Linked DNA regions of Caenorhabditis elegans. The protein of the gene in region 1 interacts with the protein of each later gene in a pairwise test. Each region holds a gene or a part of one and is shown on either strand. Other genes may lie near its edges.

Evidence for each region. Proteins that work in one complex are often made in the same cells at the same time.
Region 2: the proteins of rpl-19 (region 1) and ftn-1 interact in a two-hybrid assay, tested with the Caenorhabditis elegans proteins (one large-scale study listed by BioGRID).
Region 3: the proteins of rpl-19 (region 1) and sta-1 interact in a two-hybrid assay, tested with the Caenorhabditis elegans proteins (one large-scale study listed by BioGRID).

What each region holds. Positions count from the first base shown.
Region 1 is NC_003279.8:5,483,042-5,489,739, reverse strand, and holds rpl-19 (Large ribosomal subunit protein eL19), read left to right. Parts: upstream 1-3,997; 5' UTR 3,998-4,027; coding exon 4,028-4,032; intron 4,033-4,148; coding exon 4,149-4,359; intron 4,360-4,437; coding exon 4,438-4,688; intron 4,689-4,780; coding exon 4,781-4,910; 3' UTR 4,911-4,961; downstream 4,962-6,698. Other genes in the region: C09D4.3 (Protein kinase domain-containing protein), read right to left, coding at 1-291, 370-484, 788-1,044, 1,098-1,159, 1,335-1,344; C09D4.9 (Protein AF-9), read left to right, coding at 1,582-1,611, 1,659-1,685, 1,736-1,804, 1,958-2,023, 2,250-2,282; C09D4.6 (Cytochrome b), read left to right, coding at 2,590-3,021; C09D4.4 (DUF676 domain-containing protein), read left to right, coding at 5,097-5,186, 5,227-5,306, 5,353-5,453, 5,496-5,580, 5,630-5,840, 6,040-6,181, 6,229-6,384, 6,466-6,682.
Region 2 is NC_003283.11:7,543,858-7,550,739, reverse strand, and holds ftn-1 (Ferritin), read left to right. Parts: upstream 1-3,160; 5' UTR 3,161-3,176; coding exon 3,177-3,233; intron 3,234-3,693; coding exon 3,694-4,047; intron 4,048-4,093; coding exon 4,094-4,195; 3' UTR 4,196-4,272; downstream 4,273-6,882. Other genes in the region: C54F6.19 (SWIM-type domain-containing protein), read right to left, coding at 5,149-5,253; putative Na(+)/H(+) antiporter nhx-3, read left to right, coding at 5,902-5,988.
Region 3 is NC_003282.8:16,661,278-16,672,429, reverse strand, and holds sta-1 (Signal transducer and activator of transcription 1), read right to left. Parts: upstream 8,111-11,152; 5' UTR 8,109-8,110; coding exon 7,800-8,108; intron 7,704-7,799; exon of another isoform or gene 7,683-7,703; intron 7,428-7,682; exon of another isoform or gene 7,407-7,427; intron 7,324-7,406; exon of another isoform or gene 7,303-7,323; intron 7,221-7,302; exon of another isoform or gene 7,204-7,220; coding exon 6,859-7,203; intron 6,846-6,858; exon of another isoform or gene 6,825-6,845; intron 6,663-6,824; exon of another isoform or gene 6,642-6,662; intron 6,467-6,641; coding exon 6,339-6,466; intron 6,216-6,338; exon of another isoform or gene 6,195-6,215; intron 6,175-6,194; coding exon 5,937-6,174; intron 5,909-5,936; exon of another isoform or gene 5,888-5,908; intron 5,769-5,887; exon of another isoform or gene 5,748-5,768; intron 5,562-5,747; coding exon 4,915-5,561; coding exon of another isoform or gene 4,878-4,914; intron 4,768-4,877; exon of another isoform or gene 4,747-4,767; intron 4,702-4,746; exon of another isoform or gene 4,681-4,701; intron 4,500-4,680; exon of another isoform or gene 4,479-4,499; intron 4,442-4,478; exon of another isoform or gene 4,421-4,441; intron 4,226-4,420; exon of another isoform or gene 4,204-4,225; intron 4,016-4,203; and 27 more. UniProt on the Caenorhabditis elegans protein: Carries out a dual function: signal transduction and activation of transcription. Activated STAT proteins play a role in repression of dauer formation.

The DNA of each region.
Region 1 (6,698 bases):
CAGCTTCTTGTTATCACGATCAATAAACTTCTTCGCAAGTCCAAAGTCAAACATGAAAATTGTCTTATGCTGTCCATTGTCGCGTTGTCCTGGAGCAAAGTTGCTTGGCTTGACATCACGGCTCAGGTATCCAATATTGTGAAGCTCTTCAATAGCTTCAATAGTTTCAAGAGCAATCTTTGTAGTCGTATTGAGAGTGAATGAACGAGTCGGTTGTTCGGCACGAAGACGGTAGAGATCTTTTCCAAGAATACTGATTATCATGTAGTTGTATTCACGACGGATGGTTCCCTAAAGTTTGATACGTTTTTTTGATTTTGTAATCCAAAATCCAAAATCCATGAATTCATAGTCTATGATATAACTTACATAATCAATGATATCACAGAAATGAACTCCATTGTGGCGTCTGATACTCAACAAAACCTTAATTTCCATTGGAAGCATCCCTGTTGAATACTTTTCGGCTTTGATTGCAACACTTCTGAAATAGTTCATTTTTCATAGAGATTCAATTCAGAGGAGCTAATTTTCAGAAAGTTTATTATTGGTTTGTTCTGAAATTTAATGAAGTGAGTAAACTAGAAAATGATCTACAATTCTGGAAAAGTAATAGGACATTTATTTGAGATGTACGCATAATGCCTCAAAGGGCATTATGAACCCATGGTACGATGTGGTAGTTTTCAGAAAACCACATAAATTTTGCGTGGAATAGTTCGCGTGACGCACTTCTTTTAAAGTTGCCGCGATTTGGAAAGAGCAAAAAACCAAATAAGCTACAAACCTGCCACCAAAAATGCTCAGAAAAACATGTCCCATTGCACCATCGCCCAGCTTCTGACGCAAAATGAAACGATCTCCTTTATCATTTTCAAAATATTCTCCAACCGTCGGAAGACGATCCTTTCTCTCCGGCTTATCCTTAATCGCCGGTCCACGATGACGTGGCTCGGGAGCTGGAAGCTGATGAGCAGCGATGTGCTCCATTGCGACAGACTCTTGAGCCACCACGAGATTTGCTTTAGAGCGTTTGTGGTTCAACTGAAATGATTTGATATTCTAAAGATGAAGAGAGATCGGAAGCTTGATCGTACATTTTCCTCGGCAACCAATGTTGGAGTGTTGGGAATTTGAACCATGTCGGTTTGATCCAACGCTGAAAATAAGTATTTGAAGAATTGATTAGAAAATGTCCAATGTAAATCTATAGACTATTTTGAATGCTTTAAAGTACAATTCATATTTACAATAGTCCAATATCCGCATCTCAAAAGTTCTAGAAGATTCCAGGAGATTTCTAAAACGTAAATCTCCAGCTGAAAATGACTTACCAGTCGCCATGATGATCACAGTAGAACTTTAATCCTTCGAAAACTGAGTGTGATAAATTCAGTATTGATTTTTTTTCCTAATCTTCAAAGTTCATCTGCCCAAAAAAATTCCAACAAGTGTGACACGGGGGCGGGTCACAAACAAAAACGTGAGATGTTATTATTTTAAGTCTTCTAGAATTCATTCTCCGTTACCGAGAAAACAATTTTTGACGTTGTTGTTTGCATTGATTCTCTTCTGAAAATAATGGGACAAAAGTGGAGTGGAACAGTTTCGGTAAGAATTTTAATATTGGAAATGTTCATTTTATTGTTCTGTTTCAGAAAACACCATCGAATCCAACTGTCTCTGTATGTGTTTTGTTTCAGAAAAATATCTAAAAAACTCAATTTTTGTTCAGAAATCTTCGTCGGCACCATCTTTAAAATCAACGCCGAAATCGGATAGAGAAGACCAAGAAAAGTCTAAGGTAAATCCTCTTCCCCTCAATAGTGGCCGAGTTTTCATTTTCACGGTCACTAATGAACCTTTGCCTAATGTTGCCACGTAACAGAAGTTCAATGAAGTTTTTTTAATCAAAATTTTGATAATGGCATGCTTCCGAAATACTTTTAATTTTCAGAACATGAAGCCATCGTCGTCGAGCAGTAATAGTCACCGGGCAGACCCTCCGAAGCCTAAAGAAGATGTAGGTTCTTATTTTACTGTGATTCACTAGTAGGATACGCTATATATGTTTCAAAATGTTTCGTGTATGCTCCTTTAAGATTACTGTAGGAAATTTCCAGGAAATTTCCAGTTACTTATTTTAAAAAAACTATCTTCTGTCTACAGTAATCTTAAAGGTGCATACCCACAAAATTACACTTCGCGTGGCGAGACCCATCCGCAGGAATATAATGTTTTACTTTCAGAATGTGTATGAGAATCTCAGCTACAAAGGTTAAAACCAACATGAAGATCTTTTCGTACATTTGTCCGATTGACTTTTTAAAATTATTTTTAATTTCAATAAATAGTTTTGAAGTCAAATTTGTTTTTCTATTTTTTTTTCACTCGAGATTAATGATCAACGACAAGTTTTGAATTTTCTGACATCTCCTTGGACACTTTCTGAATCTCTACGACTACCCGATGCCCGTTGAGAGGGAGCGATAAGTATGTCTTTCTAATTTTAGGGTTTCAAGATGTATTGGCTTTTTTTCTAAAAATTTCTGACACTTCTGGCTGAATTCTACAAAAAAATTTCACACGATGCCTATTATTTCATTTGCCACTGGATATATGTACTTGATATTCGGGTCATTTAAAGTTTTCAAAAATATTGGAATTTCGACGATGGAGTCGTATACTTTCAGTTTAATTCTCACAATTTTTATGTTTTTACATATTGAACGAATCGCGAGATCAACGTTTGGAAATGTAATTTGTCCAAGAAGTTTTGCTCTGCAAATGGTTCTAACACATTTCTCAATGATAATTGTCATTATTGTAATTGTTGGAATTGTATGGATCGCCCCTAGCACTGTACGTGATATTTCAATCCTTTTCCTAGATTTTACTATTTCAGATCACCCAAATCGTATCGTTTCTACTTTTTGCATTTTTCGGGTATCTTTTAAACATTGGTCCAGGAACATTCCCAACTTTCTCGGTGGCGGACCCATTTTACTGGAATCAGAATAGAGCAATTTCTCCTTCGTACGATAGAGCCTTCAAAACAGTTATGCTATGTGGTATCTCTTTCAGTTTCGTAGGTTTCCTCACAATCTGTAGTCTGAAATATTATCACAGGCGCACCTTGATTTTTTCTGGTATTCAATAGCATCAAGTTGTTTAATAATGTTTGATGTCATTTTAATGGCACACTATTGGGAAATTTTCGGTCCAGATGATCCGGGAGAAGAACCAAGGATTGATCATGTGGATAATTTGCATATGGATTGATAACTCTCGTACCTTAATCATTCTAAATTTTGAGAAACTTCCTCACAATAAAATAAAGCATCGAAAAATAAAGTTGTTGTGTTTCAAAATTTCGTAATTTTTCACAATGTTTTGAAACACACCTCAAAATAGTGCTATTCGGAATACTTTCATTCGTTCTGACTATCGCGTTGAACTAAAATTGTGAGTTTCTTTTTATCTAATACCTATGATTTTTAACAAATTCTGAAGAACTTATCAACAATTGTCTTTAACCAACAACTTATAAATACCACTAACTAAATTTTTCAGATTTTGTAAGAGAAATCTCTAAAATACATGTGTTAAATAAATGTCCAAAAAATATGAAACAATAAAATATGCAATACCCCCGAAAATTTTATTCAAAATATCAACACAATTGTTTGCTGAAGATGCGATGAAAAGAAAACGACACAGCTGAAACGAGTGTTACCGTAGTCATGCGCCTTTGACGCGCTCAGGTCTCGTAGTGAAACGAGGAAATAGCAGTTTTTCTCTTCAATTCCTAAACTTCTTTTCGATTTTTCAAGCCTTGGAATGATTTTTTTGCCTAATTTTTGATGTACAAAATTAGAAAATGATAGCTTTCAAATTTCCATTAAGCAAAAATTTTGATTCTCTGAAGGGTGTCGCTAATTTTTGTTGTTTTCGTGAAAATTTCTTTATTTGTGTACTTTATATTAATTTTTTACAGGAAACTCCAAATACTGGGTAGCAAGACGAAATGAGGTGAGTTTTTTAAATCATTTCCAATTGAAAGATCAGTCCAAGCGTCTTTTGAAGATATGACTTTCGTTTAATTGAGAATTGTGCAAAATTTGCATTTTTAATTATTGATTTTTCAGCAATCTCCGTCTGCAGAAACGTTTGGCTTCGGCCGTATTGAAGTGCGGAAAGCACCGTGTCTGGCTCGACCCCAATGAGGTCAGCGAGATTTCTGGAGCCAACTCCCGTCAAAGCATCCGCAGACTCGTCAATGACGGACTTATCATCCGCAAGCCAGTCACTGTCCACTCCCGCTTCCGCGCACGCGAGTACGAGGAGGCCCGCAGAAAGGTACATTTTTCTTTTAATTGATGCTGTCGATTTTTTAAAAGTTACATTTTAAGTTAAAAAAAAATATTTGGAATTTAGGGACGTCACACCGGTTACGGAAAGCGTCGTGGTACTGCCAATGCTCGTATGCCAGAAAAGACCCTCTGGATCCGACGCATGCGTGTCCTCAGAAACCTTCTGAGAAGATACAGAGATGCCAAGAAGTTGGACAAGCACCTTTACCACGAGCTCTACCTTCGCGCAAAGGGAAACAACTTCAAGAACAAGAAGAATCTCATCGAGTACATCTTCAAGAAGAAGACTGAGAACAAGAGAGCCAAGCAACTTGCGTAAGTTTTACTATTTTTAAATGATTTGTTTTTCCAAATTATTGAGAAGTCTTTCAATCAATTATTCATATTAAAATTCCTGATGATTTCAGTGACCAAGCTCAAGCCAGACGTGACAAGAACAAGGAGAGCCGCAAGCGCCGTGAGGAGAGACAAGTCGTCAAGCGTGCTGAGCTTCTCAGAAAAATTTCCCAGAGCGAGAAGGTTATCGCTGGAAAGTAAAACTTTGTTGTTTTCCTCTATAATGTCAATAAAGTTATTTGTTGAACTCTTTATAATCTGTTATTCTGCAGTTTTGGTAACCTTCTAACACTGTAACATTTTTCAGTCTCTCATGATACTTGGGTTAACCCTAATTAGGGATTGAATAGCTTGGAATCAATAATTCTTCAGGCGGGAGCGAGTAGAATGCGAATTGAAGCTCACCAGGTATTCAATGTGAGTATTCAATTATGCGAGTTCTTCAACGTCGACTTGTCTGATCGGGGTTATTACCAGGTTTTTAAAAACCACAAATCATCGCTTACGTTCAGTTCAGATTCGACTGAGGCCACGAAAAACAGCGGAAATTGGATCAGTAGACATATCACACGATACGGAAGGGGACCGGGATACTGGGTCCGTCGATTATTGATTTGTTCACTGGAATATTCTCTAATTTCAGGCCTAAAACATCGAGTAATATTCTTTTAGCACATGTCTATCAAGGAGCGGCTGTCAGTAAAACAGTTGAAGTAACTTATCAACATGAAAAATTCAATTTAGGTAATAAAATCATCGAAACACCTTTTTTTATCTTACTTTCAGATGATTGGTTCCATATTTCGGTGCAATTCAATTCGACATTGAACTTGTGTGAGCCTCAAAAATTAGAAATTGAAATTGAATTATTGTAAGACAGTCCAACAATTGATTAAACATAAAATCATGAATTAATATAGATACATGGACCGTTATCATCCTCCACAATATGAATCCTTCGTGAAAATCACAAAAAGAATTGTCGAAATTCCTCTGGATCCAACACGACTCGTCGCCGCCGCTCGTTCTTTATATTTTGACAGTACCTACCTATCTGCGATAACTATGAGTGTTTTTAGTAGTTTAGTTATGGTAGCCACGCGGCAACGGAAGGCAAATGCATCAGAATCGGTAAGAATATTCGAGCTTTTTGCGAAAAAATTTGAATGTTTTGGAAAATTTTGAAAAAAGAAACACCTAGGTTTTTCGTTGTGTTTTTTGAATTTTGAGCAGTTCTCAAATACGGAAAACGATCAAATCTTAAAATTTTGCTTGAATAAATATAAAAAATAGCTTGATGTTTAAAAATCTGATCAAACTGTTGCGTCAGTTATTACAGGCATCATCTACAAAAAGCACAAAACTCCGACGAGTTTATAACTCATCTGCACATGCTTTATTATTCGCAACTCGATCTATTCAACAGTTCATCGTCAATAATTCACGGCTCATTAATGCATCGGTTTCAGTTGGTATGAAACAAAAAAAAGTTAATTAATTCGAAAGCATTATTTTACAGTTGTTCTGGATGTACAAACAGAGATGAAAGCGGCTCTTCAACAATTCGATAGCTCAGATCATCCGACAAGATGTGTTGAGACCGATGTATGCGAATGGAGCACTAAAATTACCCTAATATATCAACAAATGTTGATTCTTTTTCGAAAATCAAAAGGTTTGTGTAATTCCTGTAAGAATTTAATCCGAAATTGTCTTTTTTTTTAAACTTGAACGGAATCGGAATCGATTTTTTCAGAGCTCAATCAACAACTGCTTCTCATTTTCGATAAACAACGTCGTGCAGTATTTCGTGAGGCATTTTGGATAAATGAACGACCAATCGATAAATGTTTAATAAGAACACCAGTATCGGTTCTCGAACATTATAAATCTATTATCAAGGTGGATTATTTGAGGAAGCTTCCACGCTGCACAATTTTCTGCGAAGAAACTGATTGTCCTGGAGAATTTTGGTAAATAATATTGATT
Region 2 (6,882 bases), on another chromosome or scaffold:
ATTTTGGTTGAGACCTTGAGCAAGCTGAACTGTTTTTTCATAATTGAACAACTATAAGTGAGACTTACAGCAAATGCATTTGCATCCGTTGCATGGGGAATAATTTTCTGGATGGCAATTTACGATACAGACTGAAATTTTACACAATAACGTATTGAATCATGTGCTCATGGGTGGTAGACACGTTTTAATTAAAAAAAAAAAAAAAAAAAAAAAATCTAAGAAATAGTTTAAATATTATTAAGAAGGTGTTTTCAGGTCAATTTTTTGAACGAAAATTATAATGAAAGAGAGCCACGTGGCAGCAGCATTTATATTTTTCAGAAAACCCACAACTTACTCCGAATGCCTGCTGAGTACCTACAATAGAAAAAAGTTCCAGTGCACAAAATACAATGGGAAAAAGACACCTCTGCATGGTAGATTCGGTATGATTTTAATGGTGGCGGGCTTTTTTACCGAGGCGACAAATCCCTGGACAGATTAAAAAGTAGAATACGGAAATTCAAAAAGATACATTGAAATTTTGTGAATCAATTAATAATCTGTCGTGATTTGTGCAGAGGTGAACAAATCATGCGGGTTTTTCTATGATTTCAAACACAGGCAAAGCGGGTACGGTCCGTTTACGGATCTTGGACCGGGATCGGACCATTAACGGGTGAACTACGGATATGAATAGCGGGACGGACCAATTACGGGCAAACTACGGGGAATGTAAAAAATGGCCATTAAGAGGAAAAAATGGATTTTAAGAAAACGAATTGTTTTTAATACCTATGATACCAGTTGGCTAATTTAAGCATTTTTACGTCGTTAAATGCATTATTTAGAGCAAACACCACATTTACCGACCGAGATGGCTCTTGAGCCGTAGTTGGGCCGTTTCCGGTCCGTAGAAGGTCCGTCGCCGGCCCGTAGACGGACCGTAAATGAACCGTCCCGGGCACCAAATTTTTGTTTTTGAAAATTTCAGGTTCTAGCACGGAAAAAGTGCTGAAATTAGCTAAAGGAGAGTACCCTCTCCTTCTCTCTTCGGCACTTCAAAAACTCCATTTTCATGAAAAATTTTTTCGTATTATCCTCCGTTTTGGTGATCATCCGTAGTTTGGCCGTAGCCGGTCCGTAGATGGTCCGTAAATTACCCGTCCCGGTCGGCAAAACTGCACTTTTTAAAACTAAACCTTGAATCAGGCAAAAAATTAACCAACTGGCTACAATGAACCAAATAGCATTGTAGGTACTTCAAAAACTCAATTTTCATGAAAAAAAAATTCCTCTGGGCAACCATTTTGTCTATCATCTGTCCGACTGGTCCGTACGCGGCCCGTAATCGCATGCGATCTAACTGAGGCTATTAAGCAGAACATTGTGTGTAAAAGAGGTTATATTAATGTATATAAAAATATCAATAAAAAAGATGAAATGCCACAATTGGGTAGATACTGTGTATACGCAACGTTCACTCTCTCTCTGCTGGTCTTCTTCAGCTGAGCAACAGGAGCATTTTTTGAAATATCATAAAATATTTTACTAACAATACATTCTGGAATCATTCCTGATATCGTTTCTGTTCCGTGTGTATTTTAAGAAATTAAGGTATCATTCAAGTAGAACGCATATACCTTATTTCCTCTATTAGTCTTGCAACCCTACGGTCCAATCGAAAATTAGTCTTGCATGCAAGACTAATAGAGGAAATATGGTAAGTACCATTTCTGTATTACAAGTAGATGGAGCACAAATAGGTAGATGTTGAGAAATATGCGAAATAAGTTCTGGACTACACGAAACTGTCAATTGTTATCGTTCGTTTTCATATAAGTCCAACGGCAAGATGGAGAATCAGAAACTACTGAAAATACAATCGAAAAAGTTGGTGTAAGCCGTGAAAACCAGAAGAAAATGCGCTGATCGCTATTTATGCGAAGTCTCTTGATATTCCTCGCGTGCGCGAATGGCCACACGGAAAGGTGATGGGCCAGTAATCAATCGACAGGCAGTGGACAAGTTCAACCCCGGCTGAGGCAGATAGAATTGCTACAACGAAGGATCACCGGAAGACGGTCTGGAGGAAGACCGGAGCTTGGAGCATTGGGAAAGAAAAAGGGGGCAGCTGGAGGGTGAAAAAATTTTCCCATTTTTTAGTCTCCTTACGGTTCAATTACGGTCCGTTGACGGACCGGGAATCGAACCGTGAACTGTTCTTTAATTTGAGCCGTTCCCGGTCCGTGAACGGACCGTTTTGGGCACTTTCCGCTTTGCCTGTGAAAAAACAGTTCCACTGAAAAGTGTTTTTTTGTAATTTTTGATACTTGTTCAAGTTATTAAATGGTCTGCTCAGTTTTCAGTGTTTTTTTTTTGAATTTCGCTTTAACCTGAACCATCCTAATTCAAAAGTATCAATATTCTGACGCAATATTTAAATTTTTTTTGTTAAACTATATCACTTTTTCCATCCAACTTTTGACTGTCAACAGCTCACGTAGCCAATGATAAGAGCGGCACGTACCGTTTGTTATCACTAAATTTTGATGCACGTAGCCAAAATAAATGCTAATCAACATGTCTTAGGGCAGCTCATGTGATGCCGAGACAACCATACATCAACGTTAAGAAAGTGTAGATCATCATTTGATGAGAATTGGGTTTTGTTTGGATCAGGAAAAACCGGAACTTTTTATTTCAGAATTTAGGGCGTTCACTGGAAACGTTCTAACAATACTGGTATAATTTATCTCCCAAAAAACACTTTTCAAGTTTATAACCTATATCTAAGTTTAAAAATTTTGAGTACAGGACAAGTATGAGTTTACGAAGCATCATATTAAAATCAAAATGTAATGTGAATGTGGACGCTAGAAAGCCAGGCGAAAAGGGACATCACACTTCTGCAAAAAGTTATTTTCATTCGGCGATCCTTGGATGTAGTTTTCTTACAGAAGGTTAAGCTTCTCAAAATGTACTTCAACACTTAGGTTTCCATATTAGTTCATTGAAACGCATGTTTCTGTAAACAAGAACCCTTTCGTTGCCAATATGTAATGTGCAAAAATCATAATCAGTTTATCAATGATCACAATCACAAACTCCGCCCCCAGAGTTGTCCAGTTTAAAAACACCCACAGTCCCGGACACGTAATCAAGTCATTATATTTTCTGCCAAGTAAATCGTCATGTCTCTAGCTCGTCAAAACTATCACGATGAAGTCGAAGCGGCCGTCAATAAACAGGTATGATCATTGTTTTGACAAATGGGAAAAATATATTAGGAAGGTTGGAAATTGAGAAGAGATTTAGAAAAAGAGAGGATGTGTCGTGAGAAAATTAATCACTGATGTCTGGTTACTTTAAATTAGGAATTTAACTGATTAATAAAAACATTGAAACACACCACACGCTTATTTTTCCAACCGGCAACATTTTGTTTTTTTTTAACGAACAAGGGCAGGCAGACAGTACCTGAAGAAGCGCAATTTGATCATGGCAGCGTCGATGATTTCTTTGCTCTTATGCCAGTCATCCAAAAAAAATATACAGAATAGGCGGCAGTAGATAGACGAGCACGTGAGACTGAAAGCGTCTACAATAAAAATCCTATCTGAGCTTGCTTTTGAACTGGACGAAATTAACACTGAAATGCTTTTAAAATTAGAAGTATTACTCAATTAAAAGCTTAAATTACCTTTCCAGATTAACGTAGAACTCTACGCCTCCTATGTCTATCTATCGATGTCTGCACACTTCGATCGTGATGATATCGCACTTCGGAACATTGCCAAATTTTTCAAGGAGCAATCGGATGAGGAGCGTGGCCATGCCACAGAGCTCATGAGAATTCAAGCTGTCCGTGGAGGACGTGTTGCCATGCAGAACATTCAGAAGCCAGAGAAAGACGAGTGGGGAACTGTCCTTGAAGCATTTGAAGCCGCACTTGCTCTAGAGAGAGCCAATAATGCATCTTTGTTGAAGCTTCATGGAATCGCCGAACAACGCAATGACGCGCACTTGACAAATTACATTCAGGAGAAGTATTTGGAAGAGCAGGTTGGCATTTTCAGTTTAAACTCCTATTTTTATAACGTTTATTAAGGTACATTCGATCAATGAATTTGCTCGCTACATTGCAAATATCAAGAGAGCCGGCCCAGGACTCGGAGAATATTTGTTCGACAAAGAGGAATTTTCTGATTAATAATTTTTATTTGATGTATTTATTGTACATATGGATGAAATTGTATATTTACTGAAATGAAACACATTGAAAACTTCAGAGATTAGCAGTTCCTAAAAAGGTTCAACCTTTTTTCAACCTTTGTGGCGGAAATCTGAGACACATAAGGTGTTTTTTAAATGTTTATTTGGAAAAACCGTTAGTATATGGAATTAATACAATATAAGGGAAATATTTTGTATTGAAGCTTACAAGAAGCTTTCATTGTTTACAGCGCCATGTGGAATTCTACGTTTTCAGATGTTTTCCCAAAAACAACATAATATATTTGTTCTGGGTATATCAAAAGATTTCCAAAAAAATTATTTCTAATTTTCAAAAAATATCTCTATCGATGTGGAAAGTGTTGTAGAACTTAAAAAAGTTTCTGTATACTTTCAGACAGAATTTTTGTTTTCAATGGCATTTTTTGAATGTTTTCATAACCAACGTGGCTCAATAATGTTTTTGAAATGCACTTATGTACATTTTTGTTCTTAATTATATTTTCAAAACAGCTTCATTTCTTTAAATAATGTGTATATTTAAAAAAAAACCAAAATTGATTAATTTGCATGTTTGAAGTTCGTTAAAATATCTCTAAAAATATATGGATAGAATTTTGGTAATTATTACGCTTCAACTGGAGGTTTACTCAAACCAAATTTTGAATTTTAAAAGTTAATGAATTGAGCTTCATTTCACTTTTTTGTTATTTTCTTGATTGAATACTTTTAGTTTGTTGGAAAAACTGTAATTTCATTAATGTCTTGGTTTTTTTCTCAAAATGTTGAAAAAAAGAAAAATAATTAAACAAAACATAGGAATTATTTTGAGGATATGAGTCACTTACAGACGAAGATTCTAAGAATGCTTGATTTTTTTTTGGTTGACCATTCTATCTAAATATTTCCTCAATAACTCTTCTTTGGAAATCATTGTTTTCTTATTGTGAGAAAAAGTTTTTTTGCAATATGAGAACATTTTATTGTATAAAACTGCGAAAATTTTTCTAGACACGTTGGGTCTTGCTGCGACATTTCCGAATTTATCAGGTATTGTGATGGCACGGTAGAGTATGATAAGATTACTGTAGTAGGCTTTACGATTCTGAAAGAATTAGTATTACGGAAGGAATAGTTTTACCAAAATCAAGTCTTAATTTTTGTAGTAAAAAAAACGAGAGATTGGACGGGAATCCGCATTCACGAGGGAAAAAATTTCAAAATTTAAAATTTAAATGCGTCCCTTTCGAGATTTTTTGCTTACTGGTAAATTTAGAAAAATTTAAATTTAAAAAACTTACAACTTTAAATCTAACTCAAGAAAACTAATTAATCTCTACTTCCAAATGACGTCACTTGTAACACAATTACTTTCAAATTGTATCAGTTTATCATCAGTATCTCATTTTAACCTTTGATTCACTTTATTGTTACCTTGTAACAGAAGACGATGTGTGTATCAATTGGGACGTTACGATTTCTCTTTTTTTCATCGTAGACAAGGCACTGTTGTTTTTATAGCCCCCTACATTGTATTGATGACTTTTCGATTTTTTTTTTCTGGCGATGCCTTTTGAAACTTATGTTAATGCATACTTTTTAATAGTTCAAAATCAAATTTTTGTTTGAAAAGTTGCTTCTAGTTTGATAGGTTTTTTTACCTAAAAATTTGAAAATTTGCAGATGCTGTCAAAATTATTTGTGTTCTTGCTGATATGCTATGCAACAGCAGACGAAGTGGATAAAAAAGAAGCCAAACACGGTTTTCAGGTAAGTTTTGGTGCAAAAAAAGTTTTTGTTCGAAAAAAAAATCCTAATTGCAGTGTTCTTAACCTGAAATAATACGGTATTTACAAATCGTGTTTTTTTTTCGAAACTGATTTAAAAACAAAATGAAAGTTTAGGAATTAAAATTGGAGATATAAAGTAAGTTGAATTAATTTCGAACAATTGTAGAGAATTAAAAAGGAATCAGAAAAACCGTCAAATTCAATTAGATTGATTCAGTTAGACAAGTTAATAAAAAAACCAAAAACTCTCAATTTTTAAACACAACAAAGAAACCTCATTAAAATATCCAGCACAGATAACTTCACACATATTCTGGAAAAGCTAAAAAGTGTTGTCAACAAAAAACAAAAAAAAATTCAAACAAAATTGTAGTATTCAAATTTGTTTTCAAACATAACTCTCCTGCAAATTTGATGGAACATTATTGAAAAATAAAAGAAAGCCAGGAAATTGCATACTGTGATTCGAAAAGTAGATATTAAATTTTTTGGTTTTCAAAATTTTAATCTCTCCACTTACTATTAGAAAAACTTTCAAGATTTTTTTTGAAAATTATTAAGTTTCCGTATTTTTTACAATTTTTTACAACTCGTTCAAATTGAAACATTTGAAGCATTTTAGTAGCTTATAGTCGATAAACCACAAACAATCATCAGTCCAAAAACCAACAATTTCTTGTTTTTCACTGCTTCTTTTTGCGTGTATTCTCCAATACATAACAACTATACGAAAATCCGGATCTTTCCCGATTTATCACAATTTGAACTCATTTATCAACTGATGTCATCCGATCCATCATTATGACGTCATCAGTATCCTAGTTTTGAACGTCGAAAAATCAAAGACTATATGGATTTCCCTTAAATAGAACTG
Region 3 (11,152 bases), on another chromosome or scaffold:
TTACAAAAGGGAGAAGCTGGAAAAAGGTAGGGAATAAAAAGAAAGTGGCTTGGGAAATTTCAAAATACGTATAGAGAATATACGCAATAGGAGCTACACAAATTTTCCAACTCAAGAAAACAATTTTTCAAAAAATTTTCCACTGTTTCAACAGGTTTTTATTCACAATACATTTGAGCTACTAATGCTTTCGTGATTTTGTCGTTTACAGCTTTGCCTAGAATGTTTGAAAATTTAATTAGATATTTAATTCAATCAATTCACATGCATTTATAGAAATTTCTTATTCAAAATTAAAAGTTTTATAAAACTACATTTTCTTTGAGTTTTTAATAACAGTTGTATATTTTTGTATGTGTTTGAATGCGTTCAACTCACAATATCTTTGAGAAAATAACTGAAATCTAAAATCGACTGATAGAGAGTTCTTCAACATTTTGAAAATAAACTTGAAGAGTCTTGAATTTTTTTAATAATTATCCAAAACTTCAGCAATTTTATACAGTACATATATGATTTTCATTCAAAACTGACAATAGTTTTCATTACTTTTTTTTAAATCTCCATGCTGCAAAACGTAAATGATATGAAAATATTTTAGAGCAGAGAACTGAAATTGATCCCCGGGGCTTGATTTGCCATTTACAGATATTTGAAAAAGTTATTGAACATGTCATGTTTTCTGTTATGTTTGTCTGAAAATTCAGTTTTCCTTTAGTGAGAAGACAATAGTTCTATTCTATTTTCTTTCATCTCAATTCCACGACTTCTCCAGTTTCATCTCCTACAGTTTAAATTATGATCGTGCTCTTGATCCCCATCGATATTTAGAAATTGCATTTACTGATAACATTTTCCTGAAACAGTAAAATTAATTTTTTTTTTTTGGTTAGAATCACGTGCTTATATGAAACTTTCTAGCTTCCTGTCTCCATCGTGGAACAGATCAAAACATTCGATTTACAGTAAAATAATTTATTGGATGAGATCAGAAATCACTTGTGATTATTAATATTATTTTCAGTAAATATTGTCAAAATAATATTAGATTATCAAAGAATTGAGGAAGATGGACAGCACGAAAGAAGCAAAGATATGAATACTAAACTGGAGACAGAGAAATTCAAAAAGAGGTAATTGGGGGGACTGTTTTAACATTTAAATAGTGTTTTATGAGGGATAAAATTGATTGTGGTGCTGTTGCATCATTCCCTGTTGGGACATATCCACAAAATGAAGGTTATGCTGATGATTTCCATCGTGTGGATTGTAGTTTGTGATATTATTCTTGAATGCTGGTCCCAATAGAGTTTCTACATCTCCCGACATATCCGAGACTGTTAGGATTTGACCAAGTTCGTCGGACCTGGAAAAAACAGTGGAATTAGCATTGGAGCGCATTTTGTAATTTTTGGAAATTTCTTTATCGAATGTCACTTTAGATGAGATGTCATTAGTTTGATAACGGCCACTGAGAAAGCGACTTCTCGCCGCGTTCGTGGTGTAATGGTCAGCATGGATGCCTTCCAAGCATTCGACGGGGGTTCGATTCCCCCCGAACGCATAAACTTTTTGAACACATCACTCACATCTCCATCATATGATTCTGATGAACCTCCCCGGGTGACCAATCCAATTTGCTTTGAACCGACAACGGTGACGGAGAATCTGCACCAAACATGGACGGTGCATTGGACATTCGTCTGAAATTCCTAAAATAAACCGAATTTCTAAACTTTCCATCTGTAACCTACCCATTTGTTTTTGCAACCATGACAATTTCACTTTGAATATATCCAGTTGGACTGTCACCACCGCCCACGCGATGACGCTCCTCGGACTCGAAGAAACGCAGCATTTCTTCTTTATCGATTGCCGGGTACATGTATCTGAAATTTAGAGGTTTTTATTTCATGTTTCAAAATTTGTAAGTTAAGAGGAACGCTGTTAGTTATGTGTTGCTACCTTAATTAACTCGGTTGAAATAAAAAATTTTTCACTGTTTCAAGAATTTGTGAGAAAAATTGTTGTTTTCTAATTTCAATTTCTATTGGTAGAAACATTTTCACATTTTACATGTCTACAATGTATTTTGAGAGATTACAGCTCAAGTCAATGTTTTGTCAAACCTTAAAAATTGGGTCTCGACTCTAAAATCTGCGACTTCTGGAAAAATTTAAATTTTTCAGAAACATGATTTACAAATAGACAATTTGAAACATTTTTTGTCATTTTTTGAAGAGGCATTGTCCGAATTCTAAGCCATGATCTTATCTCTTTTCAGTGAAACAGAAAAATATTTTCATTTTGCGTTTTTTTTTAATTCGTATTTTTAATAGGCTGGCGGTTATTTTTCAAAGTAAAATAAGAATTATAAACCGTTGCGAGACCTTGTTTTTTTTTCAAAAAAAAACTGAGTGATTCACTAATATTTTTGAATATTAGACTTTGAAAAATGAACAACTTGAAACATGCTTTGGCATTTTTCCAAAATAAATTGCTTTAAATTCATCAGGCTTTCTAAGTAGGCGCTAAGGCCTTGTTGAAGCTGTAGGTAGGCAAGTCGTTCTGCCTACATTGCTGCCTACCATTGTTTCAACTAAGCCGAAAATTTAAATGTAAGTGTTATTATTTCAATTAATTTAATGGCAAAGAAATGAAACACATTCTTCCCCTGGTAGAAGGCACACGTCAGGCGTAGCTTGCCTATAGTCAAACAGTAATTTTCGGCCCAACATAGCAGCCCTTACATCGATTGTATCTAATATTTTCAAACTTTCGACCAGATGTGAGATGTTTACTGATGTTAGAAATTAACCGATAATTTATCAACAACCTGAAACAGCATAATTTTTTTTTAATTCACTAATTTCAAAATTTGACTTTCTTGAAGAATTACACCGTAGGCAGACAGGCTAACTTTTTTGCCTTAGAATTTTTATAAAAACGATTAGTTTTTTGAGTTACTCCGTGCAGTTTTCACAATTTCCGGATTTTATTTTAGTAAAAATTCCACCCAGTTTCAGTTAGTTATTATTCACGAGCGCATGTTTCTGCATTCATTCTATTTTCACACCGTTATTATCCAATTTTAAAAAGTGTCATTTGTAACCCACTTTTGCCTATAACGAGAAAATTCAAAAAATTACAGTTGGAGTAAAAACGGAAAATAGGCGGTAGGCAAGTAGGTAGGCAGGCAGGAGGTGTCCAGTTATAGAAAGTGTTCATGTTAACATTTCATGTACTTTCATGATGTTTACTAATTGGATCCAAAAAATATTTTTAAAAAATATATCAGAAAAATGGGACTGATGTTTTTAATAATTATTCAATGAAACAGTAGAAAAATGAAATATTTGGAAATGAAACTTTTTGTTCAAAACTGCTGTGCTGACAGTTCTTATAATAAATTATTAAAAATCACAGTATCGAGATGGTGATGAGACCTAAAAAGTACGGAGAAAAGTGTATTTAACAATTATACAATTGATGCCATTTTCAATATCGTTCAATGAAAAAAACCATATAAAATTATTTAGTGAAACAATAGAAAAAAAAAAAATTTTTTTAAATTCCTGTATTTTATTTAAATTGGCAATTTTAACTTTCATTTGAATATTTTTGTAAAATGATCACAGTTTCAAAAGATTTAGATCAAATTATAATGATGCATTTGTTGTAATAAGTATTTCGGAATTGCAACATTAACAAAAGAAGGGACAACTTTTATAATTCTTAAGTGAAACAGTTGAAGTTTTTTTTCAAATTTTTGTTAATTTTGTTCAAAATAACTGCTGACATAATTTATATCCACGTTCAGAAATATTATCAAAAGTGCTTCAGCCTGAACGGTGAAATCATAAATCACATAATTTCCAGCCGGGCCGCAGAAAATAGGTGGTAGGTAGGTAAGCACAAGGCAAGAAGGTGTATTTCTTAGTACTGATGTGAATGTGAAAAATGTGAACATTATTTATATATATTTTTCAGGGTGATTCACAAAGATTAGAAATATCAAACGATTGCAATTGAAGCTATTTATGATTATTCAATGAAACAGTAGAAAATTTGAACTTTTTCTCAAATTTTTCCAATTTCTTAACCACATAAAAAATATTTGTTTTGTTTAAATGTGCCAGTTTTCATAGCAAAATTTTGAAATTCAAAGGTTTCAAAACGTGGTAAGACCCGAAAATTGTTGTTATGAAAGAGAATGCAATAAGAATGCAATAACTTCAAACCAAATGATAAAAGTATTTAGTGAAACAGTATAATTTTTTTTCATTTTTTCAATTTTCTTCACACTTATTTTTTACTGTAACTGAACAAACTTAACATCTTGTTAAGTTTTCACTCCTAAAATTAACTTTTATTTACCCTTTTTTTTTATTTGGCACTTCTGACTTTAATTTTAACATTTTTTGTTTAAATTGATCACTGATTGAAAAGAGTTTAATCAAATTATAATAATTAGAAAAGATGAAGGAGTATTTTCTTAACATTAAAAAAAGAAGGAACAACTTATATAATTCTTAAGTGAAACAGTTGAAGTTTTTTTTTTTTTGGACGGTGAGAACATAGATCACATAATTTCCCGCCAGGGCGCAGAAAATAGGCGGTAGGCAGGTACGTAGGCAGGTACGATACTTACGTCCCAGTAATCGCGTGAAAATTCAATTCACTTTCGTGGTTACAGAAATATCAAACTATTGCAATTGAGGCTATTTATGATTCTTCAATGAAAAAGTAGTATTTTTGAACTTTTTATTTTTTGTCCAATTTCTTAACCACATAAAATATTTAGTGAAACAGTATAATTTTTTTCATTTTTCCAATTTTTTTTAAACATTTCCATTTTTGACCGTAACTAAGCATACTTAACAACATGGTAAACTTTTCGCGTCTAAAACTAACCGAATATCCTTCAATTGTGGACATGAAGCAATACGACTTGCCAGTGACAATTGATCCAAATCCTTAATAGTAAAAGGTGCCAAATGAAATGGAATCTTTTGTCCATCAGCCTCTTCACAAACAAAACCAATCGATACAGCACCAGTTTGACTGTCAGAGAATCTCAATAAAAATGAAGAGTGCTGACACATCATCATACTTTGAGACGCATCATTTTTTGAAATAAATCCAATGCACCATCCCTCATCCCAGAATTTGAGCAGTTTTTGTTTGATTAATTGCATTATTGAGAAAAACCATTCCCAAAATGAGAATGGTAAGTCATCTCTCATTGCCTGTTTTGCGAATCGATGAAATGTGATTGGCTTCTGATCTGCCACATTTGGCATTAACATTTTCTCACTTAAATATGCCAAATCTGAATCTGAAAGTGGACGACGTGCTCCCGTGAATAAGGAGAACTTGTTTCGAAGCATTATTGCTAGATTGTCCCATGTCACAGCTGTCACATCAGTTGTATTTGGATTTCTGCTGATTGAGGCGAATGCGCGGTGCCAGAGAATTGCAACTTGCGCGTCACAGTCTTGAGATCCGTGTACTGTAACCATTATTGGAAGAGAAAGTGTCCAAACGTCGAATTGTTCTTCCTGTTAAATTTTAATTGATAGAAATTGGAGGACATATTAAATTTTGAAAATTAAGAGTAGCTGAAACAGTGAAAATTCTCAAGTTTCTTTACACTTTTTTGAATATAGAATTACTGCTTTTACTAATCCAGTTAGAAAATTTCAGTAATTCAAAGTGAAAACCGAAAGAAATGTTGGAAATGTTTGGTTCAACCATTGTTCGTTTATCAGACTCAAATTTTGAAATAAATTTTAAACTTTTTGTTGAAACAGTGAAAAAATAAAAAATAAATGTTTTGCTGTTTCACGTTGTTTTTAAAAGATTTTGCATTTGAGTTTGAGTTACTGACTACGTTCAAAAAAAATCAAGTCATAATTGAAATATCAACAACTTACTTTGCTCAAATTACCCATTTGAAAAGGTGTAATAAAGAATAAAAGAGCATATTTCTGATCAGTAGCTGCCTGCATACTTGCTGCACATTTCAAGTCAGATGCTCCTTTTGGGGGCGGTTTTCTGTGTGCAATTCTTGTCAATTTTGAATTATTGAATTTTGCCGCCAAGTGTCCTCTTTCATTCATTGTGAGCTTCTCGAAATCATTGGAAATTGTGCCAACTGTCTTGTTGTTACGGCTGAAAAATATTAGTGTTGAATATAGTGATACAACTACAAATTAACCACAAAAAATAAGAAAAGTATATAAAAATAATACGAAAAAGTATAAGTTTTAGAAAAAAAAATTTTCTCAATTTTTCAAAAATTTACTGTTTCAAATTTTTCATTAAAAAAAACTCACATTTCCTTATGTGCATCATAGTCAACACTCAACTGCTTGGCTTCATCTTCTGCTATAATTTTCACTGAAACATTTGTGTTCACCAGGTGTTGACGAATTCCCAGCTTATCGCCAATGAGAAGACGGACCTGGAAATTTTAGTTTTTTTTTGTAATTTTATTGAAAAATCAGGATTCTGAAATTGCTGCGTCCCACAGCGGAAACTACAGTAACCCGTAAAATTAGGTGGGGTGGAACTGTAGTTTTTGTGGTGGGACCCAGAAATTTTCAAGCTGAACAAATGCGTGGCACACATTATATTCGAATTGAACTTCTTAAATAAAATTGTTGAGTATGACTTACATATTTATTTGAATGACTTTTGAAACGGTAAAGTTTTAATTAAAATTTTTGAATTTTTTTTTATTGTTTCTTATAATTTGCTTGAATTCTAACTAAGTTGGGTCTCGTCACGACGGTGTGGTTTTCGCGGCGGGACCCACCAAAATTTGACATGTATAATTTCCATTAAAAAACAAACCTCAGTGACAAATTTATGTTGAGTCTTCAAAACAGGTTCCGGTTGAACGGAAACAATAAAACTCTGTGAAACCAGCATAAAAAGTAATTTGTTCAATTGTTCTGTAATTGCAGTCAACTTTCCAATTGTTGCCTGAGCGAGCCCATCATTTAACTGTGGAGCACGTCGGAGCAAGTCGAGCATCCAACACGAGAACATGTTAAGCTGCCAGTTTTGATCAGCGAGAAATTCGAATTCAATTTGAATTTCATCAAGCAGCTGTTCGCGATTATCGAAAGGCATTCCGATTTGGGCAAGTTTTTGGGCATTTTTCCAGGAGAACAGCTTTTCGCCAATTAGTTGGGTCTGGAAATGAAGATTGATTAAAATATTGCAACGCATAGAAAATTTGATTAAACTGTGAAACAGTATTTTTTTAAAAATATTTCTCTTTAAAAAAAATTGTCAAATTTTATGCAAAATCAATGTAAAAGGAAAAAAAAGATTAAATTTGATAAAAGTGTGAAACTGTAAATATTATAACTAACTTTTTTTCAGATAAGAGAGCTAGATTGCAGGCCAGTTTTAAAGTATGACATTTTCGCGCGTTCAATATATGAAATGCATGGGAAACATTAAATTTTTAATTAATTTTTGTATTTCAGTTCATTTTTGATGTAATTTCATATTAAAAGATTTCTTAATGCTTTTTTTAAACAAAACATTCACTTGAAACATTAAAAGAATAAAAATATTTTTAGCATGAATTTACTGAACATGCAAAATTCTTCAAAATTTGAAGGATTTTTCAAAAAAGTAAATCTTGTATTAGAGTTTTTTAATGGAAATGGTCTTCGACAGTCAAGTAAAGTAAAAAATTTTAATTCATATTTCACAAAACTTTGAAACAGTAAAATTTTTTTTATGTTTTTTTCATATTTTTTCACATTAGAAGAACCAACCTGTAGCATCGTCGCAAAATTGGTGCCATCATTAAGTTTAATGACAATATCATTTCTTTTCTGTGTCAAATGCTCATAAAGTGTGGCTGCTCTTTTCTGTAACTCTGTCATTTGCTGTTTCACAGTGAATACATTTTCTAGTCTCTGTTGCTGTTCCAGCTGTGCAATGACCATTTGCAGACGTTGAAGCTCGCCGAGTTCATTCACAAATCTGCCTTGGAGGTCCTTATTCTCTTCCCACAAGTGATGGCAGGTCTTTGAGACGTCGGTTAGAGCTGTTTGAAGCTCTTGCGACGATGAGCCCATCATGTCTGGAAATTTCAGATTTTTAATGAAGGGAATGGGAAGACAAGGAGGTAATAAAAAGGAAACGTTTTCAAAGAAAAATTTGTGAAAAAAAATTGGTTAAAAATTTTTTTACAGTTTCAAGAATTTTATTTCATTTTCAGTGTATTTTCAGAATCGACGTATACTTTAAAAAATTTTTTACTGTTTCAAATAAGTGATTAAATTTTGAAAGATTTTGTTAATTTCAATTTGATTTTTCACTGTTTCTGAAAACTTTCAATGTAGCATATTCGCTTGACAAAACATATTCATTTTCATCAATAATTATGAAAAAAAAAAAGAAAATATGTACGTGCAATGCAAGAAAAAATTGCGAAAACTTTCAATTTGTGCGAGTTGTTGAAAGAGCCGTGGCTCTGCACAAGAACTCGAAGGAAAAAACTAATGAGAAGTTGTTGGCTCAAAAAAGCGGAAAATGGGCAAGAGATGCAGAGAGCAGAAACACTTGGAAATGTATAAGAGCTCCAGGAGCACACACACACACGGGAGAGAGTATCAAAGAGAGCACAGAGACGCAGACAGTGTTACACACCGCTAGACGCAGAGACTTGTGTGTTTTCACACCACTTTTCCCCTGTCTCAGCTGATATCTGTGATGATTGGGGGGACGGAAAAAAATGGAGATATTATTGAGGGATTAGAGAAAAATATGTTTTTTTTTTCAAAAAAAAAATCGTTCAAATTAATTTTGAAACAGTAGTGGTTTTTTCAAGTTATTATAAAATGAGCTGAACATGAACATTTAAGGTTCTACTTGTATTACCCAACCGTGAAATTTTGCGCGAAAATTACTGTATCGGGTCTCGACGCGACAAATTACTGTTCAAATGTTCTAAAAATGTTCGAAAGTATGTATGTTTTTGTGGTTTTTATTCAAATATTTTTTATTGGAAAACAATTTGAAAAATCTGGAAAATTTTCAAATTTTGGGTGAACGACGATTTGACGGAAATTTTGGAAAATTTTAACATTTTTCCACTGTTTCAAGTTGTCTTTAAAAATACCAACATTTTATTTATACGTTGCTAGATTTATTCCAGTTTTTTATTCTGAGTGTATGAAGTTCTATTATTATTTCTCACTACTGTTCTAGCATTTTGAGGATTATAAAATGTGGTGTTGAAACCGAAAATTTAGTTTTTTTTAATTTTTTTTCGGCCAAGCTGAAATAATTTTGCGTGTTTTAAAATTGGCTTAGAGTCTGGAAATTTTATAACAATCTGACAAGTAATCTGAATATACCGGGAAAAAGAAATTGAAAAAAAAATTATACTGGGGCTATTTCTATATGGAACCTTAAAGATTTCAAACTTGAGAAGAAAACAATACTGTTTCAGATTACTGATATTGTCTGAATGTATAAAATGGGGTAATACAGTGTTGAAAATGAAGGTAGTATAATATTTTAGAAAACATATATATTGTTTCAGATTGCTTACATATGAATCGAATAATGTTTCTCAATATTTAAATTTTTTTCAAGTTTAATGCTGCTATTGTCGGAAAGCAAAAATTGTCAAACATTACTTCGAAGTTCGATTTCACTAGTTAGTGAGCTGAAGTTTCGTTTTTTGTTCAAACTAGGTAATTAATAGAGCTTATAAGACTTACAAGTTCAAATTTTTAGAAAAAATGTATCTTGTTTCAGATAAGTCAAGTATCAATGGCAATTTTTAATTGAAATAACACAAAAGGCACAGCAAAATTTACAGAAAGTTGGATGAAAAGTTTACTGTTTCAGGTTACTCATATTCAATATGGAAAATGAATTGTTATCGATTATCCTTCTGTATTACATCCTAATAAGGGTCATTTACAGTTAGATATAAATTGAAATTTTTCTATCAATTATTTCGTTTTACAGAGCATTCCAACTTGGAAAATGTGCTTATGTTTCATGGTCATGAGAAATAAAAAATTTACTGTTTCTAACTGGTTTTTAATATTTTCAAATTGTTTTTTTTTTTGCTTTAAATTAATACAGAATCTTTACTCGTTTTAAATTAGCGAAATTTTGACTGTTTCAACAAGTTATTAAATTTTAAACTCGTTTTGCATATTTTGATCGGGTTATTGATTTACCACTATCGACAAATAGATTCTGATACTAAAATCAGGAATTTCAGAGAGAATTCCCAGCTAACAATTAGTGGAGGACAGAAATGCAGTTTTCATTTTCAGATTGACTTTTCTCTTACTAAAGTGTTAAAACTTTAAGTTTTAGAAAATTGGACAAAAAAAATTGACTGTTTCAGATTGTTAATGTTAATCGAATAAATTCTCGGCCGTGCTGTGACTTCTTTTCATGTTAAGAATTCATTTTTCAATTTTGTAACACTTCGAAGAAGTATTTTGTTTCAAATTAGAAACATATAAATTGGTATTCCAAAGACATAAATTTACGTTTTTCGGTGGCTAATAGTAAGACAGGCTGGGATGTGTCCTAATATCACGTTTTCAAAATATGGAAATTCATGGAATACGTGAAACAGTACATTTTTTGTTCAGTAAACTAAAATTTTAAATTCGGCAAAGAAATTCCATGTAGGCGTCAAAACGTCTGCCTGCCTGACCTTAAGGTGGCCTACGCCTGCCTCTTGCCTCAACCTGCACCTTATGCTGAAACATATGAAAACTCTTTTTTTTTTAATTTCTTAATTTGATTTTCAAAAAAATTGAATCAAACCAAAACGCATGAAATAGGTAAAAGGCCGGCGTTAGGCGAGCAGGTTTCAGGCAGGCACTGAAACTGCGCCTGCCTGGAAGCCCTGACGTACACGTAGAAAAAGGCAAGTGAATCATCTCGAACCTCGATTTTTTTCTGAGTTTTTGAAAAATCAGCTAATGTTTCAAGGTCCTGAGAAAATACATGGGGTTTAGTAATTTTTCGTTTTTTTCTGCAGCAAAGAATCACAAGAATCATGTTTTTTATTTTTTGTGAAAATTCGAAATTTTTTACTGTTTCTAAATAGCATTCTATATTTTTAAAATTTGCTTCAAATTAA